Linked DNA regions of Mus musculus. The protein of the gene in region 1 interacts with the protein of each later gene in a pairwise test. Links are inferred from orthologs where the notes say so. Each region holds a gene or a part of one and is shown in the gene's direction. Other genes may lie near its edges.

Region 1 (3,521 bases):
GGGCTGGTCTATGATGAGAAGATGATGAGTCACTGCAACCTCTGGGACAAGTGTGTGCTCAGAGGGCTGGGGTGGGTGGTGTTTGGGTCACTCTCCTCAGTCACTAAACCCTTGGCTCTGCTTCTCCACACTGTTAGTCATCACCCTGAGACACCTCAGCGCATCTTACGCATCATGTGTCACCTGGAGGAGGTGGGCCTTGCGGCTCGCTGTCTCATCCTACCTGCTCGGCCTGCCCTGGACTCTGAGCTCCTTACCTGCCACAGGTCAGACCCCGTGCTGGGGGGAGGCCGGCTGTAGGATTCTAGGGATGTTCCAGGAGTAGGGCCTAGGGCTCTCCAAGATGGGTGGAGCCACCTAGACAGGTTCAAGTTCTTATGTGAGGACAAGCTGGCGACTCTTGTTCCTCTGCATCACCAGTGCTGAGTACGTGGAGCATCTCCGCACCACAGAAAAGATGAAAACCCGGGATCTGCACCGTGAAGGTGCCAACTTTGACTCCATCTACATCTGCCCCAGCACCTTTGCCTGCGCAAAGCTTGCCACAGGCGCTGCCTGCCGCCTGGTGGAAGCTGTGCTCTCGGGAGAGGTGCGTCTTCTCTGTGTGCTAGTGAAGTTTAGCTGAAGAAATGAGGTCCTGGGAACATAGAGAGGGACTACCTGCTCCCACTCAGGAGGCCAGAGGCAATAGGAGAGTCTGCTGGGAGGGGAACCACGGAGTGGATGGCCGAGTGGATGGCGGACAGGAGAAAGGGAAGCCTGGGAAAGATGAAAAGAGAGTGAGGGCCAGAGGCAGTCTCGCTGCTCCTCCCTACAGGTTCTAAATGGCATTGCAGTAGTGCGCCCTCCAGGACACCACGCGGAGCCAAATGCTGCCTGTGGTTTCTGCTTTTTCAACTCAGTAGCTGTAGCTGCTCGCCATGCCCAGATCATTGCTGGACGTGCCCTGCGGTAAGGCCTGCCCCCCCAGAGACCCCCAAAACCCGATCTTTGCAGGGATCTGGCTACTCTTTCCATTCAGTCTTACTTGGCAGACCCATGGTCACCCCTGGGAGCTTACACAGAAACAAGCAAAGGTCCACTGGGCAGCACTTGACTACAAAAGCCCCAGGACGGGTGTGTTAAGTGCCATGGCATCTAGATGCTTAATAAACTAGGATCCAGGGTATCACACCAGCATTCCTGAACAGGTTATCCCAACAGAACCCATGCCTGGGCTCCTAGCATTAGAAGAGTCCCTAGCCTTAATTACTTGTTCAGGTCCATAGTTCAGGAAGCCAAGGTTGGACCTTCATTCTTAGAATAATAGCAGTGCTTTCTCATTAACTCCATGGTCCTGTTGCCCAGCAACAAGTGCTTCCAAAGACCCTAGAAATCTAGCAGTGGCCCACTCCTAGGCCTTACTGTCCCAAGGTGCTAAAAAGGGCTATCTCCCTCCCCAGGATCCTAATCGTGGATTGGGATGTTCATCATGGTAATGGAACTCAGCACATATTTGAGGATGACCCTAGGTGAGTGATGGGACTGTGGGTAAGAGTATGGTGTGAGAGGATGCTGAAGCATCCTGCAGGGATGTTCATAGCCTCTAACCTGCTGTGGCCCCTTTCTCATCCCACCCTCTCCCTGGCAGTGTATTATACGTGTCCCTGCACCGGTATGACCGTGGCACTTTCTTCCCCATGGGGGATGAGGGTGCCAGTAGCCAAGTAGGCCGAGATGCAGGTATAGGCTTCACTGTCAATGTGCCCTGGAATGGGCCCCGCATGGGTGATGCTGATTACCTGGCTGCATGGCATCGTCTGGTACTTCCCATCGCCTATGAGGTAAGGCTCAGGTTATTATATAACATTGCTGTATCTGGCAGCACACATCTGCCTCCTTGACGTGTGTTTTGACTACCAGGTGACTAATCCTATGATGGCTATTGGGACAGGGTGGTGGGGATGGCCTTATGTATCTGTCTGCCTATGCATATATGGGTGCCTGTGAGTGGCCTATCTCTGTGACATTTTACACGTAAACAACTGTCTTGGCTCTGTGTATATATGCATGTGTGTGCCTTCTGATTCTGTCTGCTCTTCTGAGTGCATGGCTGTAAGGGTATCCCTAAGAGATACTGTTGTGGAATTGTGTAGAATAGAAGCATAAGATTAAATACATTATGGATATGTCTATGTAATGTTATATAGTGGCTGTCATCTCCTTTCTGTGTGTGATAAGTGTGATAGTGTATGTCATTAAATGCTGCTGTCTTGTGATAGCCTAAGAAAGACTCTGAATATGGAAGGCCGTAGTGACATTGTCACCCACACCCGTCTAACTGGGTCCACGTGTCTATATATGAATCTCGCTGGCTGCTTTGACTCAGGGGTGACCTAGCTGTGTGTGAGCTAAGGACAGGGCCAATGGCGTGTGTGTGTGTGTGTGTGTGTGTGTGTGTGTGTGTGTGTGTGTGTGATAATGCACTGAGGACACAACTCTGCAAGCCTGAACATCGGGCTCTGCTTTTACATCTGCATGCATGTGACTATGCACAGGCGACAGAGGCTACCCTTTATGTGTATGTGTAACTGCATGCAAGCGATAGCCTGCTGTGGGCATTGTAACTGTGCATCTTTGTGACTGTGCAGGGGTGGCTGTGTATTATCGTCCCATGAGAAACCCAAGCGTAAGTGGTGGGATTTGCAGCCCTATCAATATGAACCTGTCTGGTTGGGAGTGGAAGTGTATGACACTTTTATTTGTCTATAGTCTGTGTATAAAAGCCTGTATCATGTGAATGTGGGTCCCGTATTTGACCCTTGTATGTGAGAGAGAGGTTATGTCTCTGTTTCTCTTGTCACTATCTCCTGCCTTCCAAGTCTCCATGTTCTTTCTGTGAGCCATATCTATGTCATAACTCTATATCTTGCCTTCTGTCAACTTAGAGTATCTCCCAAGAGATTTTTGCCCATATATGTGTGTGTGTGTGTGTGTGTGTGTGTGTGTGTGTGTGTGTGTACCACATGTCTGCTTCATGACTGTGGAAGCCAGAAAAGGGAATCTGATCCCCTGGGACTGGAGTGAGACAGTTGTGAGCTGCCATATAGGTGCTAGGAATTGAACCCTAGTCCTGTTTCCACAGCCAGCGCTCTTAACAGCTGAGCCATCTCTCCAGCCTCTCTCCCAGTGTCTTGAGTTTCTGGCGGGTATACTCTTGTCTCTTTCCAGGCCTGCCATGTCTTGTTTCTCCTTGTGTCCCTGTCTTCCACTCCTGCTTTTCAGATGTCAGGTTTCTCTCCCTCCCTCCCTCCCTCCCTCCCTCCCTCCCTCCCTCCCTCCCTCCCTCCCTCCCTCCCTCTCTCTCTCTCTCTCTCTCTCTCTCTCTCTCTCTCTCTCTCTTTGGTTTTTCGAGACAGGGTTTCTCTTTATAGCCCTATAGCCCTAGCTGTCCTGGAACTCACTGTAGATGTTGGGTCTCACATCATCTGGGTTTTGACTTGAATTCGGATGCCTTCGTTTGCCCTTGCTCCTCCCATCAC
Region 2 (3,521 bases), on another chromosome or scaffold:
CTCAGGCCCTCAGGCTTGGCTGCAAGTATATTCATCTGCTAAGCCGTCTTGTTGGCCCAATCCTCTCTTGTCTACTTACTGTCTAAGAAGGTGATTTTCTTTTCTAGGTGTAAGGGACCAGAACTACAAGACTGTTTAGGCCAAGCAGAGGTATTAATGAGGTAAGATCGGCTTGGAGAATGTTGGGTTCAGGAATGTTTGGGAGAAAGGTCAGGGAAAGAACGATGTTATTTGTTCTGCCATATATATATATATATATATATATATGTTTTACCTCATTTATGTCTCTGCACTACTTGCTTGCCTGGTCCCTTTGGAGGCCAGAAGAGGGCATGAGATATCTTGGAACTGTAGTTATGAATCTATGAGCCATTATATACGTGTTGGGAATTGAACATGGGTCCTTCACAAGAACAGCCAGTGCTCTTAAGCACTGAGCCTCTCTCCAGTGGCCCACTCTGCCCTTTTAAGTTTTCATTTTTAGCCTGGTGGTGGTGGTATACACCTTTGAACTCAGTACTCGGGAGGCAGAGGCAGGCAGATCTCTGAGTTCAAGGAACAGTCAGGGCTACAAAGAGGAACCCCTGTCTTGAAAAAAAAAAAACCCAAAAAATTATTTTTTACATTTTTGTTTATTTTGTTTTTGTAACATGGTGTCTCTATATAGTCCTGCCTGGCATGAAACTTGCCGTGTATGCCAGGGTGTTTGATAACTCACAGACATCCTCCTGCTTCTGGGTCCCAAATACCAGGATTAAAGGCATGTAGCACTATGCCTACCTTTAAAAGTTATCTGTTTTACTTTATATGTATGAATAGTGCCTTAATGAATGTTTGTATGTGCACCATGTGTGCCCGTGCTCAGGGAGACCAGCAGAGGGCACTGTGTTCTCTAGGATCTAGAGTTAGGATAGTTCTGAGCCACCATGTGGGTTCAGGGAACCAAACCTGGATCCTCTTTAGGAGCTCTGAACTGCTGAACCATATCTTCAGCCCCCCACCCTCACCCCCTTACTTTAAATAATATTTGTTTTGTTTTTAAAGATTTTATTTATTATTATACATAAGTACACTGTAGTTGTCTTCCGACGTGCCAGAAGAGGGTGTCAGGTCTCATTACGGATGGTTGTGAGCTACCATGTGGTTGCTGGGATTCGAACTCAGGAGCTTTGGTAGAGCAGTCAGTGCTCTTACCCGCTGAGCCATCTCACCAGCCCTAAATAATATTTGTTATTTATTATTTGGAAATGTAATACAGTTATGTGATATCTTTTGATCATACCAATCCACCTTTATCTCCTTCCAGATTACCTTCATGCCCTTCCCCTTCCTGATTTCCTGTCCTCCTTTTCATTGTTGTTATTAATAACACCCTGGGTCTATTTAGTGTCACTGGTATGCACGGGGTATGGGACTGTCCACTGGAGCCATTCTTCCCTTTTATATATATAGTCCACCATCCCTGGACTCAAGAGTCCTGGCTTCTCGAATTCTCTTCCTAGATTAACTTAAACTGGCTTAAAAGGGGGCAAGCCCTGTATCTGGGTTGATTCCTTCAGTGCTCATGGGCATTAATAGAGATGAATGCTAACTCACATGTACACCAAATAAATGACCTTTGTGAAGCCACTGTAAACCCAGGATGCTGGCCTTTTCTGTATCCCACAGCAAACCACACCTGGTCATAGCGGTGACAGTAGGACTGACTGTGATCTTCCTGATTCTGGGAGGCTCTTTTCTCTATTGGCGTGGACGCAGGATTCAGAATAAAAGGGCTATGAGACGCTACTTGGAGCGGGGTGAGGTGAGTATTTATCTAGCTTAACTTTGGGAAGCATCCTTTACAATCTGCTCCCAGGGAAAATCGATGAACCTTGGTTCTCTTTCTCAGGAAATATGGTCCCTCTCTTTGAGGGGATGGTATAGAGCTATGGATACAGCTCAGAATGCTTGCCTAACATGTACAAGGACCCAGGTTCAGTCCTAGCAACACGAATGTACAGTGCACATATGTGTACACTCCAGTCCAAAAAGTAGGGAGATGTTCTCATCTTGTTTTTGCCTTTTGCCACAACGATGAAGAAACTACTTTCCTTCTCTGTGGCTCAGTTTATGTCTCTTAGATACAATAACATTCATCCTTCCAAGGTGATGGGTAGTGGTATGTGCAAGTTCCTTGAAAGCTTAAGCATTTTGGTCCAGGGCAGTAATTCTGGCACTCAGCCAAGGCAGAAAAGATTGCCCTGAGTTCAAGACAAGTCTGATCTACACAGCAAGTCCTCATCTTCGAGGACAGAGGGATAGAAAACCAGAATCAACCTTGCATGAAAAGTCTTCGAGATGGGGGTACCACCATATCTCCTCGATTCCCTCCTCCTACTCAAAGGGAAACCAATCCCTCTTGACCTTTCTCATCAGCACAGCTTCCTCAATCCTATAGTTCCTGAAGTGTCTGTTGTTCCTCAGTGAAATTATGAAGCTTTCCAAGACTAAGGACTTATCTTCTTACCCTAGGCTCTGAGCTCTGCTGCTCTTGGTGCAGAGGCAATAGGTGGGACTAGGCTTGTGGGAGTGGGCTTTTACAAATAACTCCTTCCTGTCCACCCCTCAGAGCATCGAGCCTCTGGACCCAAGCGAGAAGGCAAACAAAGTCTTGGCTAGAATCTTCAAAGAGACAGAGCTGAGGAAACTTAAGGTGCTTGGCTCTGGTGTCTTTGGAACTGTACACAAGGTGAGTGACTCTTGGGAAGTCTAGAGAAGTGGGAACAAGATGCCAGGGAAAATGGGAGAAAGATTTTGGCAGAACACTGTCTGAAAAGAGTGATTTTTTTTTAAACCTCCCTCCCTCCCTCCACTTCAAACTTTCCAGGGGATTTGGATTCCCGAGGGTGAATCCATCAAGATTCCAGTCTGCATTAAAGTCATCGAGGACAAGAGTGGGCGGCAGAGTTTTCAGGCTGTGACTGATGTAAGTTAAAGAAGGGACTTCATCTGTAATCTTCAGACTCCAATTAAGTGGATGCCATAATGAGAGAGGCAGTGTTGGTTTCGGGCATGTAGGCATATGATCTTGTGTTGGCAAATAGTGTGTTAGATCCATCTTAGGCATGAGTGTTAGGGGACCTCTGGATTGGGTGTGCTTTTGTGGAGTGTATGCAAACCCGTTACTTCCTGGCTAACACCTCTTATATTTTGCAGCACATGCTGGCCGTCGGCAGCCTGGACCATGCCCACATTGTACGGCTGCTGGGACTGTGCCCAGGGTCATCTCTGCAGCTTGTCACTCAGTACTTGCCTCTGGGCTCTCTCCTTGATCATGTAAGACAGCACCGTGAGACACTGGGACCACAGCTGCTGCTCAACTGGGGAGTACAAATTGCCAAGGTGAGGGGAGTCAGGGGAGGCCTTTGATAGCAACAGCTTAGCTGGGGAAGGTCGGGGTTGAGGAAGGAGGATTAAGGGTTTGAGGTCATGAGTGCTGTCTTCAAGGTGTGGCCAGCTGCTATTGCTCAGTGGCCGAC

Evidence for each region.
Region 2: the proteins of Hdac6 (region 1) and Erbb3 interact in a protein complementation assay, tested with the Homo sapiens proteins (2 studies listed by BioGRID and IntAct, with this or other methods). The link is inferred for Mus musculus from reciprocal best matches to the Homo sapiens genes HDAC6 and ERBB3.

Annotation. Positions count from the first base shown.
Region 1 is NC_000086.7:7,934,372-7,937,892, reverse strand, and holds part of Hdac6 (histone deacetylase 6), read left to right. Parts: coding exon 1-50; intron 51-137; coding exon 138-266; intron 267-420; coding exon 421-589; intron 590-817; coding exon 818-951; intron 952-1,442; coding exon 1,443-1,511; intron 1,512-1,630; coding exon 1,631-1,823; intron 1,824-3,521.
Region 2 is NC_000076.6:128,572,622-128,576,142, reverse strand, and holds part of Erbb3 (receptor tyrosine-protein kinase erbB-3 precursor), read left to right. Parts: intron 1-107; coding exon 108-161; intron 162-1,668; coding exon 1,669-1,804; intron 1,805-2,611; coding exon 2,612-2,731; intron 2,732-2,869; coding exon 2,870-2,968; intron 2,969-3,198; coding exon 3,199-3,384; intron 3,385-3,521. UniProt on the Homo sapiens protein: Tyrosine-protein kinase that plays an essential role as cell surface receptor for neuregulins.